Cricetulus griseus: one gene and its partners. The protein of the gene in region 3 purifies or fractionates together with the protein of the main gene of each other region. This does not show direct contact. Links are inferred from orthologs where the notes say so. Each region holds a gene or a part of one and is shown on either strand. Other genes may lie near its edges. The genes, in order: Ddx23, Zgpat, Snrpb, Sf3b3, Snrpb2, Smndc1 and Sf3a3.

Region 1 (3,500 bases), on a different chromosome or scaffold from region 3:
AGGCCAGCTGGTGCTACATAGTGAGATATGTATATATTCTTTTATGGCCTGTGTGTGTGTGTGTGTGTGTGTGTGTGTGTGTGTGTGTGTGTGTGTGTGTGTAAGATAAGTGCAGAGGAAGAGAAAGAAAGGGAATGTACATGCCATACGGTATGTGTAGAGATCAGAGGACTACTTGCCAGGGGTTGGTTCTCTTTCCATTATGTGGGTCCTAGAGCTCAAACGCAGGCCATCAGGCTTGGCATCAGGCAGCTTTGTCCCCATCCTACCCCTGAGCCATCTTGCTAGACCAAGAAAATTTATTCATATTAAATGGTGACTAGCATATCTAATAGATAGCTAGAAGTAGAAATAGATGGTGTTTACTAATGCTTCTCTTTCACACCAAACAGTAGCCCAGAGTAGTCCTAGAACTCACCACTTAGACCAGGCTGCTCTTGAATTTGTGATTATTGCCCCGCATCAGTTTTCCAAGTGTTGGGATTACAGGTGTAAGCTAATACATTTGGCTTCTAGCACATATTTTTAATAATAATTCTTTGTAGTTTAATTCCAAATACATGGTATACTTGTTGTGCATATTTAGAGTCTACCCCTAGGTGTGGTGATGGCTTCTAATCCTAGCACTTGGGAAGCTGAGGCAGGAAGATCACCTTGGGTTAAAGGCCAGCCTGTGCTATAAAGTGACACCCTGCCTCAACAAGTGGATAAATGAATATATAAAAAGAAATCACAGGGAGACAATATCGTGGAACAAATAAGAATGGACTTTTTTTTTTTTTTTTTTTTAAACAGGGTTTCTGTGTATAGCAGTCCTGGCTGTCCTGGAACTCATTCTGTAGACCAGGCTGGACTTGAACAGAGATCTGCCTGCCTCTGCCTACTGAGTGCTGGGATTAAAGGCATGTGCCAACCATCCCAGCATTCGAATGGGCTTGCTATCTAGCATTAGTGTTACCTCAAGCAATTAGGGTATGTACTGTGCCTCAGTTCTCTCATCTATGAAGTAGGTATACTAATGCATGTATTGTTTTGAGATTTACTGAACTGTGCATAGTAATTATTTGCCTTTCACACACAGATGGCAGGAGAACTGGCTGACAAAAAGGACCGAGACGCATCACCCAAGGAGGAAAGGAAGCGATCACGGACTCCTGATAGAGAGCGAGATAGAGACCGAGACCGGAAGTCCTCCCCATCTAAAGACAGGAAGCGGCATCGGTCACGGGATAGGCGGCGAGGAGGTAGCCGTTCTCGCTCTCGGTCCCGTTCCAAGTCTACAGAGAGGTAAAGTCACTTTGCATGTCTGTTACACAGGAAGGGGGAAGACATTTGGTGCTTCCAGCACTAAGCAGCTTTTCATATAGTAGCCTACCTTGTCCCAGGTGGACCTGCAAGTACTTTCAGTTTTCTTGTTCCTTTTTTCTGAAATGTAGTCTCCCTGTGTAGCCCAAGTGAACCAGGACTCATGGCGTTCCTCTGTCCTGGCCTCCTGGATGTTGTGGTTATTGGTGTTTCCATGGCACGCAGCTGAGTGACCAGTTCCTGCAGGTTAAAATGTGGTACATGAGCTTATAAGGTGAAGGTACAGAGGTCAAGGATAATGGATTTAAAGGAAAAAGAAAGGAAGATGGCTCACTTGTTCTCCCAGTCCATGATCTTAGCTTGCACTGAAGAGCACTACAGCAGTGCTCTGGAAGAACCTCTTACTAAGGAACTGTGTGCTGTTAACTACAAGCCTGGGCTTAGAGGGTAATGTGCTTGCTATGCAAGCATGAGGACCTGAGTTGGGATCTTGAGCACACATGTAAGAAGCCACGTGTGGCAGCATGCACCTGTAAAGCCAGGTGAGTTGGGGCTTGCATAGTCAGCCAGCTATCTTAGCCAATTGGTAAGCTCCAGATTCAGTGAGGGGTCCTGTTTTAAAAGAAAAAAAGATGAGGAAGACAGCTCAGTGGCTAAGGGCACTGGCTACTCTTCCAGAGGACCCAGGTGTGATTCCTAGGATTCCTAACACTCACATGGTAGCTCACAACTGTCTATAACTCTAGTTCAAGGGGATCTGATACCTTTTTCTGGCCTCCTTGGGCAACAGGCATACATGTGGTACATGAACATCCATGCAAGAAAACACACACATAAAACAACTTTCTCTTTTTAAGGTGCAAAGTTTGGTGAAATGGCTGGGTGGTAAGCATCAGGATCTGAGTTCAAATCCCCAGAATCCAAGTAAGAAGCTAGGAGTGCCAGTAATCACTTGGATAGGCAGGTGCCACCAGCTGACTGGCCAGCTAGCCTAGCCAAAATGGCAAGCTTCCAGTCCAGTGAGACTAGTGGTCAGGGTTCTCTGGAGGAACAGAACTTAGAGTGTATCGCTATATACAGAGAAAGGGGATTCATTAGAGTGGCTTACAGACTGAGGTCCAGCTAGTCCAACAATGGCTGGCTGTGAACAGAAAGTCCAAGAATCCAGTAGTTGTTCAATCCACAAGGGTAGGTGTCTCCACTGGTCTTCATTATATACTAGAATCCTGAGGAAGTAGACTCTAAGGTCACTGAAGGAATGGACTTGGTAGCAAGGTGGAAGCAAGCAAACAAACAGCAAAAGCTTCCTTCTTCCTTGTCCTTATATAGACTTCCAGCAGAAGGTGTGGCCTAGGTTAGATCTTCTTACCTCACAGATTTGGATAAGAAGTAGATCTTCCTACCTCAAATGAAGTAAAACCCTCTCAAAAGTGTGAGATGTGCACAGATGTGTGAGATGGGTTTTGGTTCCAGATGTGGTCACAGTGACAACCAAGTATAGCCATCATAGAGACCTTGTCTAAGGCTGAGAGCAGTGGAGGAAGATATCTGATGCTGGGTGCTTGCACCTGCATACTGCCTTGCATACACCATGCACACACACAAACTCACAAACACACATAAATGAAATGGAGTGTGGTAGAAACCATTTGATGTCAACTCTAGCCTCCTCACATGTGTACAGGGTACGTGTATCTATATACACCACACACATAGATCTTTCTAGAATTTCCTCACAGTTTCCCTGAGAAATGTATTTTCCAGTTTGTTAAACATTACTTTAAGGAGAAAGAAACATGGGAACCTTCTCAGGGCCTCAGTGAAGGAAGAAATTCTAGAAATAGCAAGTTATTTTTTTAAATTTTTCATCTTCCAGAGAACGGCGACACAAAGAACGAGAGCGAGATAAAGAACGGGATCGGAATAAGAAAGAGCGGGACCGTGACAAGGATGGACACAGGCGGGACAAGGACCGAAAAAGATCCAGGTAACAGAGTGGGTTTTAGGTGATGCTTCCATCTTTTCTACTCTGTAGCTCAGCTTCATGGGAAAAAGTAGATTTCTCTTAGCAGATACTATTGATAGTTTCTACAGAATGGACTTACAAAGAAAGTTTGTATCTTTTCCATTAGTTTGTTTATTTAATCAGTATATTACTGGCCCTGGGTGGCCTGCAACTTCCCATGTAGACCAGG
Region 2 (4,256 bases), about 48 Mb from region 3:
GACATACACCAAAGTTATGGTAATGCAGGTGGAGTTAGTTAAATTTATTTTTAAGAATCTAAAGCAAGCTGGGCATTGGTGGTGCACGCCTTTAATCCCAGCACTCAGGAGGCAGAGGCAGGTGGATCTCTGTGAGCTCGAGGTCAGCCTGGTCTCTAGAGCAAGTGCCAGGATAGGCTCCAAAGCTACATAGAGAAACCCTGTCTCGAAAAACAAAAACAAAACAAAACAAAACAAAAAAAATCTAAAGCAAATTCAAGAAAACAACTCATTCATCCTGGATGGTTGTAAAGATGGTGTTAGATGTTTTATTGTCTTTTAGTTCTGCCCTAAAATTGATACCACAAGCAGCTCCTTGTGATGAAGTGGTCTCACGGCCAGCAACATTGTACCGATCACTTAGTGCTTTGGTGTCTGTCTCTCCATCTATAAAGTGGGGTGGGGACTGACAAATGGTTTGACAAGTAAAGGTACCTTCTGCCAAGCTTGATGACCTGAATTCAATCCCCAGGGCCCACATGGTTGAAGGAGCCTACACTCAAAAGCTGTCTTTTGACCTACACATGAGCACCATGGCACATGCATATATACATACAAAATAAAATAAAACAAAAATTATATAAAATGGGATGAGTTCAGGGCCTACCCATAGGTTCGTGCACAGAGAAGTGAGCATATGTCAGTCAGAGAAAGTACTTAGAGGTATTAAATCTCTCATCACAGGGCTTCCCACAAAAAGACTATGGCAGATAAAGCAGCCACTGGTTATAGCAACATGTGTATTCTTGGAGAAAACCCACTGAGCACACTGATCATTTATGCACCTATAGGCATGAGAAGGAAAGAGAGTGAGCAAGGAACATGTCAAGTCTACTAGGATCTAAAAAAGATGTGCAGAGCCAAGCTAGGTAGCACATGCTTGTAATCCTGGCCCTAGGGAGGTAGAAGCAGAAAGATGAAGAATTTAAAGTCATCCTTGGCTATATATGGATTTCAAGGCCAGCTTAAAGCTACATGAGATCCCATGTTAAAGAAAAAGTAAAGAAATAAAATGTGCAGAGTACAGATGTAACCATGGAAGTAAGAGCTTAAAGTGATGTAAGAGAACCACAAACCAAGGAATATAGGTGGTCTCTGGAGGTTGGAGAGATGGCTCAGTGGTTAAGAGTATGTGTAATGTTTTTGAGGAAGACCCAAGTAGTTCACTACCAGTAGTCCTGAAGCTCCTGCTTCAGGAGATCCAACACCTTCTTTTAGCCTCCTCATGCACCTGTACTCAAGTACACATGTATTCACAAACACACACACATACACACAATTAAAAAGAAAAGTAAGTATATAGAGCTAGAGAAATGGCTTGGTGGTTGAGAGCATACTGCTCTTGCAGAGGACCTGAGTTTGTTTTCCAGGATCTATGTTGGGTGGCTCATAAGCACCTGGAACTCCAGCTGTAGAACATGCAACACCTTCTGGCACCTGTACTCATGTTCACATACCCACACAAATACACACAAAAATAAATCTTAGCTAGAAGTGGTGACACACGCCTTTAGTCCCAAGCACCTGGGAGGCAGAGCAGGTAGATCTCTGAGTTCAAGGCCAGACTGATCTACAGAGCGAGCTCCAGGACAGACAGGGCTACACAGTGAAACTCTGTATCCAAAAAAAGAGGGAGGGAGGGTGGGAGGTGGAGAGAGAGAGAGAGAGAGAGAGAGAGAGAGAGAGAGAGAGAGAGAGAGAGAGAGAGAGAGAGAGAATGAATATAATGTGTTTACTTATGTGTTTACTTAACAGGGAATGTTCCTGTTAAAGCCTGTCAGCCACCTGAAGCTCCCCCTTCTCTTTTATCAATTCTGCGGGGTGGAGAACAAGTTGTGAAGGCGGCAGGCCACAGCAGTGGTCCTGCTCGAGTGACCCTTATTGCTAGTAGCAGAGGGCTTTACCTGCAGTTCTCCTTGAAGCGGCATTTTCCCTCCAGGAAGAACGGGCAGGGCTTCAGGGACTTGTGGGTAGGGTACAGGTAGAGTACGCGAACGCATGCCGAACCATCCTCTGCCTCTTCAGTGCCCACAACCATTGCGTTGTGATACTCTAGCGTGCCCCAAGCGCTGTGGTAAGGGGCATTCACTTTAGCACCGCTCAGCTCCTCCTGATCTGGATCCTCCTCGTCTTCCTCCTGTGCAGGGGAGGTGGGTCCAGGCCGCACCACGCTCCCAGGGACAGTCTCCGAGTCATCCACGGGGGCGACGGGTGCCTCCCCTTCCTCCGCCACAGCCTTCTGGAAAGCCAAGTACTCAGCGTCCTCCTCTGCCTGGTGCTCCAGGTCCACTGTAGCCAGCAGCTTGCTCTTCCTGACCGACAACAGGCTGGCCTCGGTGAGCTCTATCAGTTCCTTCAGATCGCCCTGCAGCTGGCGCAGGTCCGCAAGCTCGGAAGCGTCCAGGCCAGCACCAAGAGCCAGCTCTACCTGCCCGAGCTGGGCCCGGTAGGTCTGCAGGGCCGTCTCCAGGTTGTCCTCGTCCATCGCTACACCGCGCAGGCTAGTTTCGGAACCGCTAAAGCAGACGAGACCTGAGGGAAGAGCAGTCGGCAGAGCTCAGGACAACGCCGCCCCCTCCCCGGCCGCTGGAGAGGCTGAGGAGGACCTCGGCGCTGCCAAGGGAACCGCAAAGTATCCCACCGCGTCCTCTGCGGTCCGCAGCCCCGCCTCCCGCCGGTGCTCGCAGCCTACAAGGGCTTCCGGCCTCGCCAGCAGAGCCCTCGCGCTAGCCTTCCGCCCGCCGCGGGCACTTCCGCCCGAGAGCTGATGCTGCCGGAAGTGCCCGCGTTCGGGAGCCTCCGGGATGGGGCGCGCGGGGGCCGTCGGGATGCGGCTCCGCCCTCTCGTACTCAGTCGGCCGGTCGGTGTCCCGACAGGCACCGCGCGGGGTCAACGCGAGGTCGGTGGGGTTTGCGACGCGACGACGGCGTCTGCGGCTCCGAGATCTGAGCAGGTGCAGGTGGGTCTCCGCCGGACTGAGGGGCCGGGGTTCCAGAATCCTGGGGTAGGGGGCAGGGAAGCGGCTTCGGCAGCTGGTTCTTTGGCTCCGTGGGCCCGGCAGCGGGGGGGGATCCAAAGGCGGCCCACTCAGAAGCTGACTCTCTGGTAGCTACGACAGTCGAAGTTCCCAGTGCTGAGTTGAGGGTCCGGAAAAGAAGCCTTAGGAGGGCGGAGCAGGGTAGGCCGCCATGGGTTTTTCAGGACTGATGGTGTATTCACAAAGATGACCCGCAGTGGGAGTAGTGGCCCAGGTTTAGCGGGTGGTCGGTGGTGGAGGCAGGGTCCGGAATCGGGGGCTGGGGAGAGGGGGGCAAGGAGTCGCGAGCCACGAGGCTCCACATTTGAAAACTAGCAGGACCGACGGACCACTGATGAAGCGGACAGGAGGCCGATAGCCCTGGTACACACCTTGACATTTCTCAGGGTGCCAGGGCAGGATGTACACGCTGCTTTCGGGGCTGTACAAGTACATGTTCCAGAAGGATGAATACTGCATCCTGATCCTAGGCCTGGACAATGCCGGGAAGACAGTAGGTGCCTGTTCTCTCACCAATTCCCTTTCCCTGCCTTATGTTCTTTGCAAATCTAATCCCTACCCAAGACTACAGGTTAGTTGCCACCAGCCTCCCGAAGAGCATTCAACAGGCAGAGGTTCGTGTGCATGTGTGTATGGGTGTGAAGGCCTGAAGTTGCCCAAACCATGTGGGTGTGAAAGCCTGAATTTGCCCAAAGCATATGGATGTGGAGGGATATTTAGAAAAGACACCAGGAAACTGCTTTAGCTGCCACTACCTAACCACCTTTCTTTCTTTCCTCAGACCTTCTTGGAACAATCAAAAACACGGTTTAACAAGAACTACAAAGGGATGAGTCTATCCAAAATCACCACTACCGTGGGCCTAAACAGTAAGGGGGATATGAGCTTGGGTCCCTTAGAGATGCAAGCCCGTACGTAGCCCAGCTGGCCAGGGGCCAGATCCCTCTCTGTGCATGCCTGCTGGGATTGGTACCAGAATGGTTTTCCTCATTCCAGGAAGAGCTGGGACTTTGTAAAGAGTAAGGTCAGGAGCTAGCTCATTCTATCCTCTCCCCAGTTGGCACTGTGGACGTGGGGAAGGCTCGTCTCATGTTCTGGGACTTAGGTGGACAAGAAGAACTACAGTCTTTGTGGGACAAGGTGAGACACACTATCTGCTCTGTACTGTATTTCTCTAGA
Region 3 (4,189 bases):
TTTACATAAAAGACCAAAAGTTAGGAAAAAAAACCAAAAAACAAAAACAAGGTTAGAGGAATAAATTACAAACTCCTGGGCATATAAACAACAGTTAGAAGTCACTGAGCAGAATAAGATTAATTCATTCAGCAAATAATTATTGAGCCTTTATGCTAAGCAGTGATCTAAGCAAATAAAACACTATACTCTAGTGGAGCTTACATTCTAATGGGGTAATAAAATAACTTAAGAATATAGACAGTAATCATCTCTTATCCCAGTCTATAGGTCTGAAAATATTAAATGGAAAATTCTAGAACTAAGCATTTAATGTTCTAAGTCATGCACCATTGTGACTAGCATGAGGAAATACCATATTTTTGCCCTAACCACAAATCTTCCCTTTGTGTAGGTTTCCACACTGCATACGCTACCCTCTCGGTAGCTAGAGGGATCATCAGATCAACTGACCTGCGTTGCAGTGTTTGTGTTCAGGTGGTCCTTGTTTTGTTAATAGTCCTAAAGCACTTAATTAGTGATGCCGGCAATTCAAAGGTACCCAAATATGCTTTCTTTAAGTGGAAAAGCACAAGTTCACTGAAGTATACATATGTAGAAAAAATACAGCATATTCAGGGTTTGGTACTGTGACTCGGAGAAGGTACTGGGAGTCTTGGAAGGTAACCCCTCCAACAATGAGGGGACTACCGCTTAGCATGTCAGATAGCAATCAATATTAAAGACAAAAAATGGGAAGGACTCGTTTCTTATCTATCTATCTATCTATCTATCTATCTATCTATCTATCTATCTATCTATCTACCTACCTACCTATCTATAAAGAGAAAGGACGATCAGGGAAGTCCTCACCAGGACAGTGTTATTTCAGTCTAAACATGAAGAGGAAAGGGCGAGACAAAAGCAAATGCAAAGGTACAGATGAAAGAACATTTCAAGCCTTAGGGGAAAATCAGTAAGAGTGAGTTCTGTGAGTGAGTTCACGAGAGCGCTGGGTTCAAGAACTGGAGTAGGGGAGGGGTTCCGGGGAGAGAAACACGCCACCCTCGCGGAGACTAAGTTGGGAAGGTGTGTGTCCAACGAGGATCCAATGCTTTCAAGGGCGTTCAGTTTGATGTTTATTACCAAATATGATGGTGTACGCCCGCGTCGGTACTAAGGATGCTATAGGTAGGAGGATCGGAGCTTAAGACCAGCCTGGGCGACACAGTCTCTAAAACAAAACAAAACGAGAGGGAGAGCTCGATAAAATTAAAACGAAGAAAAAAAAAAAAAACCAAAACCACACACACCAAAAAAATCAAAACAAAAACAAAACCCCAAACAAACCGGCCGCAGTCAACACCTTTCCACGCCCTAAACTGCTACCAGGGCCCGGAACTCCGGGGCGGAGGCCGAGCCGGAAGTAGCCTCACGAGGGGCGGCACTTTGCGGGCTGCATTTCCGTTAGCGGCGGCGGGAATCGCGCTGCTGGCTGGCGACTAGGCCTCTGTGGAAGCGAATCCGGCGGGCATCTGAGACATCGGAGCCGCCACCATGGTAAGAAGGCGCGGGCTGGCCGCGGGGCGCTCAGGGGTGCGGAGTGGGGCGGTGGCTGGCGGCGGCCGTGGGTTGAAGCCGCCCGTGGCCGACAAGGTCGGGGTCGAAGCCGCTTAATCCGGGCGCCAAAGGCCTGGACTTGCGGAGCGGCTGGGCCCGGGTGGAGGGGAAGGCTGCACCGGGGACCGAGGCCGCCGTGCGTGGCCCGGCGCCTCTGCGGTTACAGTTCCGCGGCCTCGGTAGCTGGAAACGTGTGCCGGGTCGCTGTGTGCCCGGGCTCCCGGAGCGGACGCGAGCCTCCGGCCGACCGGGGGACACCGGGCCGGACGGAGGAGAGGCGGAGGGAGCGGGAGGGTGGAGGAGAGTGTTTGCATGCAGAGCGCGACCCTGCTACGCGTATTTTTATGTTGGGGTATGTCAGGCGCTGGGGCTGCACCCTGAAATAAGTTGTGCGTTGGTTCAGTTTCTGGCTCTGTGCAGGGCTAATGTGATTCTCTATGGCAGTTCGGCTTTAGGCAAAAAAGTAACGGCAGGGGGAGGGGCGGGACGGGTCCAGAGCAGACGCCCAAGTGATTGTTTAGGAGCGCCCCGCTCCCCTGTACGAGGGAGGGTTAGAAATCTGGAGAACCGAGAGGGCCCAGTAGAAGGCAACGAATTGTCAGGAACCTGGTTGCTGAAGTCCCTGCATCTTGTTTTCCCTCTTGGTAGTAAGACATCGCTGGAAGAGTTTTCACAGGCTTCATGGACTTAGGTTTAGAAAGGTCAGCCGGGAAAAGTGGCCAGTGCTCGAAATTTGTAATTTCTGTGCATAGTAGGCAGAGGAGCTTGAATTTTGAAGCCAGTTTTGGCTACAGAGCAAATGTAACAAATGCCTCGAATGTCTCCAAAAATATTAGTCTAGTTAAGTAGCTGAAGAAACCCGAGGTAGCGAAAATAGGTTATTGTTTTTGAGAGTTGACTGAGACAAGTCCTTACTTAACCTTCAGCTTGGGTCGTCTATTTGGTCAGTAAAAAGGAATGACAGTGGACCCAGTTTTGAGGATTAAAGGAGATAAATCCTTTTCAAGGGCCTAGCCATACATAGCTATTAAATATTAGCTATTGGACCGATATACGCCGATCCTAGTAACAGAGCTCTTTGAGATGATTATTTAAGCAGAAAAAAATACAAAATCTGGTTTTCAGGTTAGGGCTGGGTAATGCTCACAGGGGTGAACAGCGTTCCTGGTACAGAGAAGACAACTTGGGTAGTTAAAAGTGACATAATGCCAGTTATAGTTGTGGGTAACTGATACGTTTCTGAGAGAGACTACCACAGATACCTCTGTTCACCTAGGGGTGTGTATAAGCGCCTTTATTTTTGCAAAGTTACATTGGGAACCAGGATAGAGAATGTTGTTTGCCTTAATTAAAAATTAGACTATTATATTATATATATATATTAGACTATTAAGTATCCAAACTAATTAGCACTCTGGCCCAGAAAAGTTGCCCAAGTTACCCTACTCCTGTTCTTGCTTCAGAGCTGGTTTCACTTTCTGGTAATAAGCTTTTCCTTAATTAAGTGAATCCACTTAGTGCCTGTTGAATTCCAGTTCTTAGTTTAGATGGATTTAGTTGTTCGTAGAACTGAGTCTATATAGTGGTGGATGGCTTAATGCCCACTAGGTCTAGTATGGGTGGATTTGATTAGTTTGTGAACACTTTAACTCTCCTGAGACAGATACAACATAGACAAAGTTGTAGTCCCAGGGAGATTGCCTGTTTTAAGGGCAGGGAAAATAGCACATTAATGGGCAGAAATCAAGGCTAAAGCTGGTTGATAAGAGTCTCAGAAAAGGACCTTGTTTGGAAGATGTCAGGAAATTGTTGAGAAGGTTGGGAATAGAAAAGTAGGCTGTGGTGGAAGATGGGGGCGGGGAGCAGAAGTGTGTGAGCGAGTCCTCCCTGCTCCCTCTTTGCAGACTGTGGGTAAGAGCAGAAGTGTGTGAGTGAGTCCTCCCTGCTCCCTCCTTGCAGACTGTGGGTAAGAGCAGAAGTGTGTGAGTGAGTCCTCACTGCTCCCTGCTCTCTCCTTGCAGACTGTGGGTAAGAGCAGCAAGATGCTGCAGCACATTGACTACAGGATGAGGTGCATCCTGCAAGATGGCCGGATCTTCATCGGGACCTTCAAAGCTTTTGACAAGCATATGAATTTGATCCTCTGTGACTGTGATGAATTCAGGAAGATCAAGTAAGGAGAGGGCTGTTGGGAGGGAGAAGGAACTGGGATGGACTGGATGGATGGGCGGGCCAAGAGTGGGATGGCCATTCAGCTAGGTGCTCTTGTTTGCTCACTTGCTTTTGAAGGGAGAAACTTAAAGGGGAATGTTAGCTGCTAAGGAATCTCTTCCTTAATCCAGAAAACCTTGCTCTCCAATTCTAGCAAAGTAGAAGTTGGTGAGGAGGGCTGCTAGGCTTTTAATTTTTCTGAGTTTGCATGCCCCTGGGTACTGGGGTAAAGGGCTCTCATGTTCTCCCCACAGGTGTGTGAGGGGGGAGAGCTTGATTTTCTGGCCTCATTACCTATTTGTAAAGCTGTAGCCTAAAGGGCTCTCCTATTGCAGCCTGGTCTGAAACTGCTTTAAGAAGCCTCTGACCCTCTTCAGGG
Region 4 (3,500 bases), on a different chromosome or scaffold from region 3:
CACAGTGTAGAGGTGATTGAATAAAGTCATACCTGGCAAAACAGAATGGGAGAGAGGCTGTCTAGTTCATCCACAAGCACAAGGTTTTTGAGTGGTCTTGGCTGAAAAAAAAATGTGTCTCCTTCTTCTAGTGGCATGGCAGATGAAAATTCAGGTTCTTCATCATCATCTCCAAGATGGGCAATTTGATATAAGTAGCTGGGAAAAAGCAAAGAACTTTCTTTGACACAGGTTATGCATAAACGATTAAGCATAGTCAGATTTCAGTATACTAAGAAATGGGATGTGATTCAAAGTTAGCTGTAAAAACTTCAACGGGGATGAAAAAAGGTACTTAGGCAAATGGCATGTTGAAGAAAGAGTATGGACTAGGGATAGCTCAGTTGGAGGAGTGCTTAACATCCAAGCATGGGGACCTAAGTACACATGCCCAACACCCATGTAAAAATCAGGATGCAGTAATACCCATTTATAATCTCAGAGTTCGGGAGACAAGCATGGATCAGTGTACTTCCGGTTCAACCCAAGACCTTGTTTCAGAAAATAAGGTAAAGAGCCTTGAGGAAAATACCTGACAGTAAGGTCTGGCCTATATACTCACACATGCTTCTACTGGAGACAAGGCAGAAATAGTACAATCTCCTAGAAAGTATCTGTATTTTAATTATGAGAAAACTGAGCTTAAATTAGTAAGTGTTCTGCATACATATTAGCAGCTACTGGCAAGACCTTGTCATTTATGTCATTTGAAGTTGTGGATATTGGTTTTAAATAGCAATTACAGTTGAGATTTCTTCCATTTGGCAGTGAAAATTCACCAAATACTGTTAATACAGAGATACAGGAAATATGTCAATAAGGATTGTTCTAATTTGTTGAGGTGGCATGGAGACAACTCTATGAAGACTGGATTTTGCAGGAAACCCAATCGAGTTAAATTTAGATTGAAACCACAAAAAGAAGTAAAAAGAGAACTCTGCATTTGACTAAAAGTAGTAGAGGAAAAATAAATTAAGAACTTACAAATTACTAGAAGTGGCTCTTTTAGTCAATAACAAAAAAATCCTGATCATGGCACACTGGTGATGTGGGCAGGCAGTGTAGGTACTAATGACCTTCAAGTTTAGGTCTGCACAAGAAGTTCTTGTAGGAATCTCTCTGGTTTTTAGTTTTCTAGAGACAATCATCTCACTATGTAGCCCAAGCTGACCTCAAACTTGAGATTCTCCTGCCTTGGCCTTCCAAGTGCTGGAATCCAGGTATGTACCACCATACACTCAGCTAAAGGTATTTTTGCAGACATTCAGAGGCAGTGACTGAAGCCATGAAATAAAGCACACACACAAAAAAAGAACAGAAAAATGGGACTGGAGGGAAGCCTTGGGAAGGTAGTAGTTTAAGAGCATTTGCTGCTCTTACAGAGAACCTGAGTTCGGTTCCCAGCATCCATATCTTTTTTTTTTTTTTTTAAGATTTATTTATTATGTATACAGTGTTCTGCCTGCATACCAGAATAGAGCACCAGATCTCATTATAGATGGTTGAGAGCCATCATGTGGTTGCTGGGAATTGGCCTCTGGAAGAGCAGCCAGTGCTCTTAACCTCTGAGCCATCTCTCCAGCCTCCCCAGCAGCCATATTTTGATGGCTCACAATCATCTGTAACTCCAGTTCCAGATGCCCTCTTCAGGTTTCTATATGCATGTGGTGTATATACATACTCAGCAGACATACACATAAAATTTTAAATAACTTTAAAAAAAACACTTATTAAATAAGAGAGAGAATATGCAATAGAAAAGAAGGGCTGGGGAAAATGTAAACAAAGAGAAAATGAAAGCAATTACTTGTTCTGAAAAACCTTTACTACTTTGTGAAAACCTCCCTAGCTCTGAAACCACACCAACCACACCTCCCTTCTGCCAACTTTTACTATTTATGGTAACCAAGGTAAACTGGGACAATAAAAGGATTACTCACTGATTTCCAAATTCTGATGCCACAAAAAGGAAGCCTGTTTTAAGCACACACATTGCAGCAGCAACAGGTACAGTATCAAAGTACTTCAGGCGGATTTCAGTTACCTGGAGAAAAAGATTAGTGTAAAGGCAAGTGCAGCTTGGCCACAGAAGCCTGCTGTTATGCACCACAAGCAGAACTAAGTAAAAAAACAAAAACAAGCAAACAAACAAAACCCCACCATGCTCAGTATCTAAACGAAAAGGGAACAAATGATAACTCAGACTGCTGGGTCTACTGCTCTTTCTGTTTCAATGCCAAAGTTAATTTAGACTGAGTCTGTATGACACAGAAAAATTGAAAATGACTACCTAACCTTTACAAATCTTAGCAATTCCCAACTAAACAGTACCTAGGTAACTAAATGTCCATTGTTAAGGATCACGTCAATAAAATACCATGCATTTTATCAACTACCGAGACATGAAGAGCTTTCTCCTATTCACATCAATTATTGTTATGGCTTTACAAGACCAGATACTCATTAGCCAGAATAGGAAAACCCATTTTCACATTCAAACCCAAAAGTAAAAGTAATCATTTTCTAAGGTATCTAAATTTCTTTTTTCTTTCTTTCTTTTAATTAAAAGTATGTTTTTGTCTCATAACCATACATCCCAGTGAGGTTCCCCTCCCTCCCTCCACTTCTCCCAGCCCCCCACAATCTCCCCTCCTCTCCCCAGATTCACTCCCACTCCATTTCCTCTAAAAAAAAAAAAAAAAAAAAAAAAAAAAAAAAAAAAAAAAAAAAAAAAAGCAGGCCTCCATGAGACCACAGTCAAATAGAACAAAACAAGAAGACAAGGCAAAAGCCCTCTTTTTGACTTGTCAAGTATCAGGTGTACTTACTCCCTATCTTAATGCAGGGAAAAGTTATGATGGTTGCAAAGCAGCTTTGTAAATCTTACATGTATATATAGCCAAGTACTTTAGACAAGAGTTTTAAATTATATTCAAATTAAAAATAGACTACAACAGATACATATTTCCCCCCTCCATCCATGGTCTACTTACCATATCTTCATCTGTCTCTAAAGTGATCTTAAAGATATCTCCCTGCTCCGTTTGAGCCAAAAAGAAGAACATGGACTTGGTCTTATGGGTGGCAGAGCAAACAAAAATCATTCCTCTTTCAGGGTCATCCAGGTCATTCTAGTAAGGCCAAATATATAATCAACATCTTAGAAATAGGTACTTTTTATTCTAGAATTAAGTACTTTAACAATAGGAACTATACAGACCATCAAGGTCTAACATACAAATAATAACCACAGTAGCTGCCAACTGAACAAAATAACTAAAACTTGTCTGCTAGAAATACATACTAAACACCCAGGAACAAAGAAACAGCTAATATTCCATTCTACAGCCTGATCAGATCAGTAAAGCAAAAATCATCTCCAGAGAAAAATGTCAGAGAAGAGACATGAAATTAAAGTCATCATTTCAGGCTGTGAATAAAAATTTAAGAACAACAACCAC
Region 5 (3,500 bases), about 13 Mb from region 3:
CCAGGAGAGCCAGGGCTACACAGAGAAACGCCCCCCACACACACACATGCAGTGCGCGCGCGCGCGTGTGCGAGCGAACAACACACAGACACACACACACACACACACACACACACACTTTTCTGTCTCACCTGCCCAGGCTTCTTGTTTGCAGCTGCTGCAGCCTGTTCCATGGTTTTAGCTTTCTTCTTTTCCTTTTTCTTTTCCTTGTCAGCAAAAGTGCCACGCATTTTAGATATTATATCGGAATCTGTTTTTGCATACTGAATTCTCTGTTTTAGTTACAGGAAAATAAATTACATTACTTTGTGGAAGGCTGTTTACAATAGTTGTTAACCTTTTAAATCCCAGTACATAACTACAATGCAAACTAATTTTAAACATATCTTTAAGGAAACCAATGAAAGAAATTAGTGAAAATAAGTACTGGCCCATGATTCACAACTAGGGCAAACTACACTCACCTGTCTTTAATATTAAAGGACAAATAAAGTTGGGCTGGGTGGCTCCTATCTATAACCTCAGGTACTCAGGAGGCCAAATCAAGAGGCCTGACTGGGCTACAAGGCCAGTCTGAAAACTTAGCCTCTATTTCAAAGGAAAAGGTAAAGATACTCTGAGTAGGAGAGTACTTGCCTATCATGTATGAAAGTCCCAAGTTCAATACCCACCACTATCACAAAACAAACAGAAAGCCACTCGACCAGACTGCATAGGGTAAGAGCAAGGCTGCAGAAGCTACACTACTGCTTCTTCTGACTTAATAACAACGAAAACTTATAATGACTCACAAAGGGATCAGTATGTGTCAATCAACTTCAAAATGTATTTACTTAAAGTAAAAGTCTGTAAATGACTTTCCTTTGAATCCATCAATTTCAATAAATGAATTCAGTAATTTAAATGTTGAAGTGGATTAAGATGAAACAGAAGGATAGAGATCAGCTGCTATGATCAGGCATAATCTTCCTATACCAGAGAGAGCCAGCAAGAGGGTAGGCACCTGAGACCAGCAAGCACTCAAAAACACTGGCCTATACTAGTGTTTTGCCAACTATACTGCACAATCCAACAGCCCGGATAGCCTGACACAGAAGGTCTAGGTAAGGCTACAGAGTCTATGCTTTTTGAAAACACAAAGTGAATGACGACCAGCGTTGAGGAGTGAAACCTTAAACTAAATTTGCTACATGGCTAAATTCATCACTGATGAAATGGCCAAATATTTCTGCCAACTACCTGTACAGTTACCAAGGGTATGTCTGCAAGTTGCAATTTCCATTCAAACAAAAATATCTCCAGAGTTCAAAGAGTCAACATTTTTTTTGATGACATCAAAACACAATAACCCTACAAGGTCCTCCTATCCCAAGAATTTGATCTTCGTCTAAAGAGAAGAAAAAGCATTTTAAAGTAGTGTGGATCAGAGGAAAGAATTTCTTAAAACCAAAAGCAATTCTCTTTCCCCTCCTTTCACTAGGAAAGAATACACCAGGGGAAGAGGAAAACAGGCACTCTCAGAACCCCAGGCTTTGCCTGGCCAATGAGGACCGTTCTATTGCAGCATGTGCCAGACAGCTCTGCTAACCTTCCCAACATGTTCTAACAGACAAAACAGGCTAAGGTTCAAATTCTACCACTCAGAAGAATTCAGTGCTCAGAGGTCATCAACCCTGTCCCTGACCTGAACAGATCTTGGGTCCCTCACTTGTCTGCTGGCCACTGTTAGCACATTCATCTAAGAAAGTATCTGATCTCAACAACGGCTCTTAACAGGACATAATGCAGTGTCCAGGGACTATATAGAGATACTGCCAGCAGAGATGCTTTTTAGCTTCTAGTGGGTAGAAGCCAGGGACTGATAAACACCCTAGTGAATAGTAAAACCCCAAAATGCATTACAAAGAAACTCTGCTCCAAATACCCATAAAAATAAAATGCAATTATCTCTTAAAAACAGCAAAGAGCAAGATTAACATTTATTCCAAAAGACTCATGATGGAAGCCCTCAGGACAACAGGTCTACTTTATTGAGGTTATTGTGTGACTGAGTTAGAATTTGAAGCAAACCCTGCTCACTGTTGATCTAACCTAAAAGCACTTAAATACAAGCAAGGCAACTCAAAGCATCTTATTTATCCTGTCAAGATGCTGGAGATCTGGCAACTCCTGCCAAGTTTTAGAGGCAGAAAATGGACCTCTAAAATACCTTCAGTATAGAATCAGACCAATGGACATTTTGTATTCATTTTAAAAAATGAGTTGGCAAGGTGAGGTTAGTGCCAAACACAGCAAATATTTTCTCTTTTCTTGTATCCAGTTAACAAGGCACGTGCCAACTTGCCATTTCAATTCAGCCAAATTGCCTAAAGAAGTTTTGTGTTCCAGGCAAATGAGATCTAGATATGTAAATATTTTCAAATTAAATAATCATAGCTGCTTCAGGAAACTTCACCTTACTGAAACTCGGGAAACAGTGATACAGGACAAAGGCTCCCAAATGAGGCTGACAGCTAACACTGTAGGGCTGGATGGAGCACAGCCACACCCATTCAGTTGGATGTGCACTGCCTACACTGCTGTCTGCATAAAGAGCTATGACAGAGAAGCATCTGGCTAGGGAGGCATGCAATCTTACTGCCCGACCCCACTGGAAAATGTGTTCCCCCCCTAGTATATAAAAAGCATCATACTAAATGTTATTAGTTTCCAAGTGCTGATGCTACCACTAGCTACAAGAATACACCTTAAACGAATAAGATTGGCCTCATGCTCAGTCCTTCTCCATGATATGAAGGGAAGACTATCAGCCTTAAGACCAAATCCAGATCATGACCTGTTTTTGTACAGCTTGTGAGTTAACAATTATTTTAACACAATTTTAAAAGGTTCAAAACACAAAGAAAGCAATAGGTATCAAAACTTTACGTGGTCAGCAAAGCTTGACATATATATCTAGTCCTTTGAAGTTTCTGCTGATGTCTGGATTAAACCAATGATTCAACTTGCTCATATTTTAGTGGTGGTGGAAGCGAATAGAGATGCAGCCTCTGCTAGTAGCAGAACACAAATGAGGAGTCAGATCCTCTAAGTCACAGGCTTTGGCTCTCCAAGACCTCTTTTCATGATGTTCCAATCTCAGCAGAAAGGCAATATGAATCTATACTCAGGGCCCAGCCTATGTCCTCATACTTAAGATTTTCCAATCCACCATCACCCAGTCTTAAACCTATTGGCCTCCTAATTGAGTTCCACACATGCTCTCTGGACCTCCCAATCCTAACTGAGAGAGTCTCATGTAGCCCGGGATATCCTTGAACTTCTGACCCTCCTGCCTCCACTCCCTAGTGCTGAGAAACCATGCATGTTATCACTATGCTACCTTAATGTTTTGAAGAATCTTGTCTATGTTGCCATCCTATTTTTCAATGATGCACATCATAATATAATTTTGCTCATTTTAACTAGAATAAGTTCATTAGTAATTCAGCTCTAGTAGT
Region 6 (4,256 bases), on a different chromosome or scaffold from region 3:
AATGCTGTTCAAAACTTGACTCCCAACTCTCCTCTATCAGCTCTACACAGACCTCCCACTGCCCAGCAAGTGCACACTCCTGTTCTTCAAAGGCCAGAAAGGACTGCTTTAGGTCAGCAGGGGTGGATGGGCAGGTCAACCTGCTTCTGTCACTCCACCTTCAACCAATCCTCAGTGCACAGGTAACTGAATGGCACATCACTCCCTAAGCGTGGCTTTAAACTGAAGGAGAGCACTGTTCAAAGTAATATTATCCCACATTTACACTATTGTAAGTCTAGAATCTGAGTTTAAGAATGTCCAACTCATTTTAAATTAAAATAGATCTTTCAGAATCCCCCAATCTATTAAGCTCTCTCTAGTATGTTACATTTGAAATTTTGTGGGGTTTTTATTTTGAGATAGTGTCTCACCATGTAGCCTTGGATGGCCTAGAACTCAGAGCAATGCCTACTTCTGCTTCCTGCATAAGCTTCCTAAAGATGTACACATCAGGCAAAATCTAATATTAATAGCCATCAATAGTATAAAGGGAAGGACTATTTGGATGGGACATAGAATAAGCAGAAATCATCAAAACACCCTGAATTTTAAGGATGTTCTTAAGATCAAAACTTTTGTACACAATATTTACAAATTACATGTGCTATTTTTCTTAGGCTGCTGCTCTAAGAATCGACAGGTATTGAGTTTGTCCTGAAGCCCCCCGTGCATGTACTTACAAGTTTCATAATTCCTATCTCCCGTGAAAGTTATGTCTCCTTTTACACCAATTCAACTTAGACAGGCACAACTACAAAGCCAAGTCCTAAGTCCAAACACTTACAACATGGGCAGAATGGGATCTCTTTACACATCCCCGTGTAAGCACATCATGAGTGTTTTTACAAAAGGTGTACCCCATTAGTGCGGAGAACCATGGTCACAGTTTTTGGTTCAGTGAAATGGACCTTAATCCGGGTATCCTTTCCTCCTTTAACACTGTTACCTTTTGAACTAAGTTTCCTTGTCAAATCTTTAAAAATAAACGCATACTCAGTTGCAACGTTTCTTCTCATGAGCTCCTAAAAGCACACACAAGAGTTACAAAACCATGAGTGTTTCATTCATTCCAATGTACACCTAATGGAGAAAGCAACCACAGAAGCCTGGGTGCCCGCGTGTGTGAATACAAGCAGGGAGCCCCTTCTTCACCGGTGCGTACACAGCGTGCGTGCGTGCGTGCGTGCGTGCGTGCGTGCGTGCGTGCGTGCGTGCGTATGTATGTATGTATGTATGTATGTATGCATGCAAGCAGGGAGTATGTATGTATGTATGTATGTATGTATGCAAGCAAGCAGGGAGCCCCTTCTTCACCGGTGCGTACACAGCGTGCGTGCGTGCGTGCGTGCGTGCGTATGTATGTATGTATGTATGTATGTATGTATGTATGTATGTATGTATGCAAGCAGGGAGCCCCTTCTTCACGGGTGCTTTAAGTGCCTATGAATTCTGAACAACACTTCATTTGAGAAAAACAAATATTCTTTCAAGCAACATCAACTCCAACTGTCCACTTATCCTTACTTGCAAATCCTTCTTCAATTTCAAGAGGTCTTCATTTTCTCCGTTCCCAGACAAGGCAGCTTCTACTTGCTGGAGCTGAGCTTTGTAGCTAGCCAACTGTTTTGCCAGGTCCTCTGACATCTGAGGAAAAAAATGAAAAAAACCATACGAGCTGAGTCAAACGCCGAACTACAAAAATGGTCCTCCAACCGGCCTAAGTTATCACTTCTGCTCCCAGCTCGTTTTATTCCTCATCACTTGTACTTTCTTCAGATATAGCTAACCCCCAAACTTCAAAGCAATAAATCCTATGGACTACAGCATGTCAGAGAAAGCGATCTGCTTGAAGAAAGGCAGGGTCTGTCTGTGTGGCTTTGGAGGCTGTCCGGGCAGTCGCTCTGTGGGCCAGGCTGGTGTCGCACTCACAGAGCTCCCCGCGCCTGTCTCTGCGTCCCGAGTGCTGGGAGTAAAGGCGGACGCCAGCACCGCCGGGCTTCCGACAAGCTTCTCCCCGGTGGGCAGAGTGAGACCAGGCAAGCGAGGACGGGCGAGCCCTTCCAAAGCCAGACAGCGCTGCGCAAGGCGCTTCTGCGGCCCTGGCGTCGGGCGAGCGCGGCCTGCGGAGCCCCGTCCCCGCCGCGGCCGGCCGTCTCGGGGGCGCAGCTCGGGGCTGCACTGCGTGCGGGGCACACGGGCTGCAGGACCGCGTCCGGGCCGCTCCCCCTCCCCGGCCCCCGCCCCGCCACAGCTGCGCCCGCCGCTCGCAGCGGGAAGCTCGGAGCTCCGCTTCCATGGAAACGGCGGCGCCCCGCATCCACCATCCTCCCGGGCCTGTCCCCCGGCCGCCCGCCCGCCCGCCGGCTTCCCCGGGCCGGCCACGCTCGCCGCCTGGGCCCGGAAGCCTCCCCGCCGGCCCGGGCGGCCCACTCGGGGTGCGAGCGCGGCCGGCCCCACACGCTGCCCGCGCCGGGACCCCGCGGCCTCCGTCTCTACTCCAGGCCGAGGCCCGGCGAGGCCTACACCCTCCGTCCGTCCGTCCGTCCGTCCGAGGCTCGTTACCTTGGGCGGGGCTGGGGACGGGGCGGCGGGCAGGGGTCGGGGAAGCGGGCCCAGCGGCGGCGGCGGCAGCAGCGGCGGCGACGGGGGCGAAGTCCACGGCGACGAGAAGGTTCGGTCTCAAGAGGGAAAACTCCAGCGGCGGCGCGGGGGGAGGGGAGGAAAGCCGGGCTCCCGCAGGAGGAAGAGACAAGGCGACTCAGATCTCGCGAGACGCGCGGGCTCTCGCGGAGTGGCGCTGGCGTCACATGACTCCCGGCGTCCTCTCAGCGGCCGGCGTCGGCGGCCTCTGGAGGCGGGGTGGGTGTGGCCTCACTGGGGCGGAAGTGACGCGTCTGCGCTGCGCCTGGCGCAGAGTGCGGGCTCCTCTTGCGTCAGTTCCTCCCGGAGCGGCGGCGGGGGGGCGGGGCGGCGGGGGCGGGCGGGGGCGGGGCGTCCTCCCGTGGGCTGCCCCGTCTGGATGCCGGGGCGAGCGCTCGCGAGCCTTCCCGGCAGGGGTGAGGACACGAGGCAGGGGGTTAGTGCCGAGAGTGGCGGGGCCTAAGGGCGCCTGCGGCCCCGCCCCGGGGAGGCGGGGGCAGAGAGGCGGGGGCAGGGGCAGAGAGGCGGGGGCAGGGGCAGAGAGGCGGGGGCAAGGGCAGAGAGGCGGGGGTAGAGAGACGGGGGCAGGGGCAGAGAGGCAGGGGCAGAGAGGGCGGGGGCAGGGGCAAGAGAGACGGGGGAGGCAGAGAGGCGGGGGCGGGGGCAGAGAGACGGGGATAGAGAGACGGGGGCAGGGGTAGAGAGGCAGAGGCAGGGGCAGAGAGGCGGGGGCAGGGGCAGAGAGGCGTGGGTAGGGGCAGAGAGGCGGGGGCGGGGGCAGGGGCAGAGAGACGAGGATACAGAGACGGGGGCAGGGGTAGAGAGGCAGAGAGGCTGGGGCAGGGGCAGAGAGACGGGGGTAGGGGCAGAGAGGCGGGGGCAGGGGCAGAGAGACGGGGGTAGAGAGGCGGGGCAGGGGCAGAGAGGCAGAGGTAGGGGCAGAGAGACGTGGTGGGGGTAGAGAGACGGGGGCAGGGGTAGAGAGGCAGGGGCAGAGAGGCGGGGGCAGGGGCAGAGAGGCGGGGACAGGGGTAGGGAGGCAGAGGCAGGGGCAGAGAGACGGGGACAGAGAGACGGGGGCAGGGGTAGAGAGGTGGGCGCAGGGGCAGAGAGACGGGGGCAGAGACACGGGGGGCAGGGGTAAGAGGCAGAGGCAGGGGCAGAAGAGGCGGGGCAGGGGCAGAGAGACGGGGCAGGGGTAGAGAGGTGGGTGGCAGGGGCAGAGAGACGGGGGCAGAGACACGGGGGCAGGGGTAGAGAGGTGGGCGCAGGGGCAGAGAGACGGGGACAGAGAGACGGGGGCAGGGGTAGAGAGGCAGAGGCAGGGGCAGAGAGGCCGGGGCAGGGGTAGAGAGACGGGGGCAGGGGTAGAGAGGGCAGGGCAGAGAGGCAGGGGCAGAGAGGCAGGGGTAGGGGCAGAGAGGCAGGGGCAGAGAGGCGGGGGGCAGGGGCAGAGAGGCGGGGGTAGGGCAGAGAGGTGGGGGCAGGGGCAGAGAGGCGGGGCAGGGGGCAGAGAGGTGGGGCAGGGGCAGAGAGGTGGGGGCAGGGGTAGGGAGGCAGAGGCAGGGTCAGAC
Region 7 (3,500 bases), on a different chromosome or scaffold from region 3:
ATCTTTGTTCCTCTCAGTGTCTCTGAGAACAAGAAGAAAGCTGTGTCAGTTAAAGGTTCTTTCTGCACCTACAGCTTTACTCCTGAAAGGAGCACTGACTCTGTGACTGCATTAGAAACCCCCAGGCACACGAGCAACATAACACCATGCAGAGCAAGCTCTCTGCTTTAAGTCCTGCTGTCTCCTCTTCACATTGCCTATAAAGTCAATGACCCCGTAAGACTATTCCAACCCTAATACTGTAACTTATAGAGGACCATAGTATACAGGAAGTCCTGCAAGCAAATGCATGACAAAGTCCTAACTTCACTGCTTAGAAACTGCAAGAAAGGGCACATATTGCAACTTTCCCAAGCCCCCGAAAAAATTAGAGTAACAACTACTATTCAGGCTTAGTATGACAAATTAGAAAAGAACATTAAAACAAACAAAAACCTCCAAATGCCCAAAACAAAAAAATAATATAAAATACTCTGTATAGGTATGTGGCTTTTGAATACGTTTGACTGTCTTTAGTAAAAGTAGAAGCTAGGCCACAGTGGCACATGCCTTTAATCCTAGCAGTAGGGAGGCAGAGGCAGGCAGATCTCTGTGAGTTCAAGGTCAGCTTGGTCTACAGAACAACTTCAAGTACAGCCAGGGCTACACAGAGAAACCCTGTCTTGAAAAAAAAGATTAAGGTCCTGCCCAGAAATGTAGCAAGTTTGCAGCCAACCTGAGGTACAGGAGATCCTGTCTTAAAAGGAAAAAGCAAAGCAAAAGGAAAGAGGGAAAGCAGACCCTACGGGAAAGAAATCTAAAATAAGAATAGAGATGCGCCCCAGCTACTCACCTTTTTGTACCCTTTGATTTGGGATTTTTGGCAAACAGAGAAGTGTCGAGTGACTCCAAGGACTTTCCTTTGGTGCTGAACAGCCTCTGAGCTCGCTCTTCTAGGGTCCTAAGGAGGCAGGGGGTACATAGGATTTTAGGGTGAACTTTATGTAGAGCAGGCTGGCGTGAGACTCAGAGCCTACTGGCCTCTGCCTCTTAAGTGCTGGGGTTAAAAGTGTGCACCATCATGCCCTGCACAAGATAGTTTTTGCAGTGTAGGGCAACAGAAAACAACAAAATCTGAACCACACAGTAAACACACAATAAGTAGCTTTGATAGAAAAACTGGGTTCTTACCCACCACATTTCAGGCCTAAAGCCAACAGTGCAGATTTCAACCTGTCCAGACCCAGGGATGCCAACTCCTACAAAAGATAAATTAATTACAAAATAGAACAATTAGCTTTTTCCACAGGCAAGACTACATTCTACAGCCAACCTAGCTTTCAGTATCCAGAGACAGACTACTGCCATGTCTAGATGCTGCCACACTGGGAGGGTGGTGTAGGTAGAATTCTATCTGTAGGTAGAATCGGTCCTACCAGTATTTTCGCAGAGATGGGAACTGAACTTGGGACCCCACACCTGCTGATAGAGCACTACACCAACAGAGCTGTCTCCAGTACACTGTTCTCCTTTAGAATTACTGTCTTTGTGTTTTGAGACAGGGTATCATTCTGAAGCTAGCTTCACATTAACAGCAATTCTCCTGCTGCAGCTACCCTCTAACTCTAAATACTGTAACATCTTATCACACTTCTCTTAAAGAAGTTGAAAGGTTTTTTCCTCCTGGTTTTTCCATATGCCTAGTACATGCCTGTCCTCAGGAAATGGTATTATTGCAAGTCTAAGACACTGAAGACAGGAAGCAAGTGGTCCCTCTGAAGGATGGCCAGGGCTAGTGAGACAGCTAAGAAAGAAACAATGTTTGCTTTAAGTGATAACCTGAGTTTGAGCCTCAGGAGAGAAGCTGGTGGAAGGAGAGAACCAATGCTCACAGCTTATCATCTGCACATGCGTGCTGTGGCACATGTGTAGAGACATACAACTACTCCTACACAATAAATTTAATAACAACACAAAGATGGCCAAGCAAGGCTACTATCATCTACTGTCCTAAAACATACCTCCCAGGAGGAGAATGCAGAGAGATCAAGATGGGCTCCAGCATGGGTCAGGGCACTGCTCGTCTCTTTCTGGCAAGAACAAGAAGTTTAAGATCCAGGTTAATAAGATGAATGAAGGTACGCGAGCCGTCTAAATTCCCAGGACTGGCTGGCCCCTTTCTTTAATCACATTTACAAATAATGATCAAATCATACAGAAATGAAGCAAAAAATTAAAAAGATGGCTAGTTTCTTCCTGAAGGTTCAAGTTTATCAACAGAACACGTGTGTGTGTGTGTGTGTGTGTGTGTGTGTGTGTGTGTGTGTGTGTGTGTGTGTCATATCTAATCATTCAAACCGATCAGATTTTGTTCAGCAGGAGACACAGAGTAATCAGGATATGGTTGTAAAAAATCACAGGCCCAGGGCTGGAGAGATGGCTCAAAGGTTAAGAGCACCGTCTGCTCTTCCAGAGGTCCTGAGTTCAATTCCCAGCAACCACATGGTGGCTCACAACCATCTGTCAAGATCTGGTGCCCTCTTCTGGCTTGCAGGCATACATGCAAGTGGAACGTTGTATAAATAAAAAATAAAAAAATAAATGTTTAAAAAATATTAAAAAAAAAAAAAAATCCCAGGCCCAAGCCAGGCAGTGATAGCACACATCATTAATCCTAGCACTGGGGAGGCAGAGGCAGGTGGACCTTTGTGAGTTTGAGACCAGCCTGGTCTACAAAGCAAGTTCAAGGACAGGCTCCAAAGCTACAGAGAAACCCTGTCTCAGAAGCAAGCAAGCAAACAAACAAAAAACCCCTGGCCCTAGACAATGGCCAGTGGGTCCTGACAAATCTTGTTCAAAGTGTACAAAGAAAGCCTTGCTTTAGGGTAGAGTTGATCCTGAGGGACTGGCATCCAATGTCCTGAAGCAGAGACTCAAGACTGAAATAGTAAGCTTGCTGTGGGATATTTGTACACTGTGTGAAGGTGTATTGCTGTGATGGGTGTAATAAAAAGCTGAGTGGCCAACAGCTAGGCAGGAGGTATAGGCAGGATTTCCAGAGAGAGGAAGGAGAGAAGGAGGATTTTAGGCATGTGGAAGATAGAGAGGAAACAGGAGGTACAAGATGGAAAAGAGGTAACGCCACATGATAGGAAGTAGATTAATATAAATGGGCTAATTTAAGTTATAAGAGCTAGTAAGGAGCAAGCCTAAGTTATAGGCCAGGCTATGATAATTAACAGTAAGCCTCCGTGTCATTATTTGGGATCTGCTAGCAGGACAGAAAAAGACTTGCTACCTAAGTTCACTTCCCGGGCATGAACCCCGCTGAAGCTCACCGGCCATCCAGGAAAGGTACCATTATCCCACTTCTTCTCAAAGTCGGTCTGAATCTTCCCAAAGAGTTCATTCTGATCCTGAAGGGGCTTCACTCTATCTGTGTAATCCTGGAGGTACTCCAGCAGCATTTCCAGGTATCTGCAGAACACGCAACAGAGAAAGCAATCACAGCTTCTATCTGT

What was found.
Region 1: the proteins of Snrpb (region 3) and Ddx23 purify together in Homo sapiens (co-immunoprecipitation; 3 studies listed by BioGRID and IntAct, with this or other methods). This does not show direct contact. The link is inferred for Cricetulus griseus from reciprocal best matches to the Homo sapiens genes SNRPB and DDX23.
Region 2: the proteins of Snrpb (region 3) and Zgpat purify together in Homo sapiens (affinity purification with mass spectrometry; 3 studies listed by BioGRID and IntAct, with this or other methods). This does not show direct contact. The link is inferred for Cricetulus griseus from reciprocal best matches to the Homo sapiens genes SNRPB and ZGPAT.
Region 4: the proteins of Snrpb (region 3) and Sf3b3 purify together in Homo sapiens (affinity purification with mass spectrometry; 3 studies listed by BioGRID and IntAct, with this or other methods). This does not show direct contact. The link is inferred for Cricetulus griseus from reciprocal best matches to the Homo sapiens genes SNRPB and SF3B3.
Region 5: the proteins of Snrpb (region 3) and Snrpb2 purify together in Homo sapiens (affinity purification with mass spectrometry; 3 studies listed by BioGRID and IntAct, with this or other methods). This does not show direct contact. The link is inferred for Cricetulus griseus from reciprocal best matches to the Homo sapiens genes SNRPB and SNRPB2.
Region 6: the proteins of Snrpb (region 3) and Smndc1 purify together in Homo sapiens (affinity purification with mass spectrometry; 3 studies listed by BioGRID and IntAct, with this or other methods). This does not show direct contact. The link is inferred for Cricetulus griseus from reciprocal best matches to the Homo sapiens genes SNRPB and SMNDC1.
Region 7: the proteins of Snrpb (region 3) and Sf3a3 purify together in Homo sapiens (affinity purification with mass spectrometry; 4 studies listed by BioGRID and IntAct, with this or other methods). This does not show direct contact. The link is inferred for Cricetulus griseus from reciprocal best matches to the Homo sapiens genes SNRPB and SF3A3.

Annotation. Positions count from the first base shown.
Region 1 is NC_048595.1:395,138,937-395,142,436, reverse strand, and holds part of Ddx23 (probable ATP-dependent RNA helicase DDX23), read left to right. Parts: intron 1-825; exon of another isoform or gene 826-972; intron 973-1,081; coding exon 1,082-1,287; intron 1,288-3,181; coding exon 3,182-3,292; intron 3,293-3,500. UniProt on the Homo sapiens protein: Involved in pre-mRNA splicing and its phosphorylated form (by SRPK2) is required for spliceosomal B complex formation.
Region 2 is NC_048599.1:540,403-544,658, forward strand, and holds the start of Zgpat (zinc finger CCCH-type with G patch domain-containing protein), read right to left. Parts: upstream 2,801-4,256; 5' UTR 2,525-2,800; coding exon 1,944-2,524; intron 1-1,943. Other genes in the region: Arfrp1 (ADP-ribosylation factor-related protein 1), read left to right, coding at 3,478-3,570, 3,859-3,946, 4,135-4,217. UniProt on the Homo sapiens protein: Transcription repressor that specifically binds the 5'-GGAG[GA]A[GA]A-3' consensus sequence. Represses transcription by recruiting the chromatin multiprotein complex NuRD to target promoters.
Region 3 is NC_048599.1:48,439,422-48,443,610, forward strand, and holds the start of Snrpb (small nuclear ribonucleoprotein-associated proteins B and B'), read left to right. Parts: upstream 1-1,389; 5' UTR 1,390-1,536; coding exon 1,537-1,539; intron 1,540-3,620; coding exon 3,621-3,772; intron 3,773-4,189. UniProt on the Homo sapiens protein: Plays a role in pre-mRNA splicing as a core component of the spliceosomal U1, U2, U4 and U5 small nuclear ribonucleoproteins (snRNPs), the building blocks of the spliceosome.
Region 4 is NC_048596.1:187,229,787-187,233,286, forward strand, and holds part of Sf3b3 (splicing factor 3B subunit 3), read right to left. Parts: intron 3,473-3,500; exon of another isoform or gene 3,385-3,472; intron 3,171-3,384; coding exon 3,033-3,170; intron 2,084-3,032; coding exon 1,980-2,083; intron 199-1,979; coding exon 33-198; intron 1-32. UniProt on the Homo sapiens protein: Component of the 17S U2 SnRNP complex of the spliceosome, a large ribonucleoprotein complex that removes introns from transcribed pre-mRNAs.
Region 5 is NC_048599.1:35,872,897-35,876,396, forward strand, and holds part of Snrpb2 (U2 small nuclear ribonucleoprotein B''), read right to left. Parts: intron 273-3,500; coding exon 132-272; intron 1-131. UniProt on the Homo sapiens protein: Involved in pre-mRNA splicing as component of the spliceosome. Associated with sn-RNP U2, where it contributes to the binding of stem loop IV of U2 snRNA.
Region 6 is NC_048596.1:8,173,020-8,177,275, reverse strand, and holds the start of Smndc1 (survival of motor neuron-related-splicing factor 30), read right to left. Parts: upstream 2,801-4,256; 5' UTR 2,605-2,800; intron 1,687-2,604; coding exon 1,567-1,686; intron 1-1,566. UniProt on the Homo sapiens protein: Involved in spliceosome assembly.
Region 7 is NC_048595.1:28,343,422-28,346,921, forward strand, and holds part of Sf3a3 (splicing factor 3A subunit 3), read right to left. Parts: intron 3,457-3,500; coding exon 3,318-3,456; intron 2,070-3,317; coding exon 2,001-2,069; intron 1,239-2,000; coding exon 1,171-1,238; intron 941-1,170; coding exon 833-940; intron 23-832; coding exon 1-22. UniProt on the Homo sapiens protein: Component of the 17S U2 SnRNP complex of the spliceosome, a large ribonucleoprotein complex that removes introns from transcribed pre-mRNAs.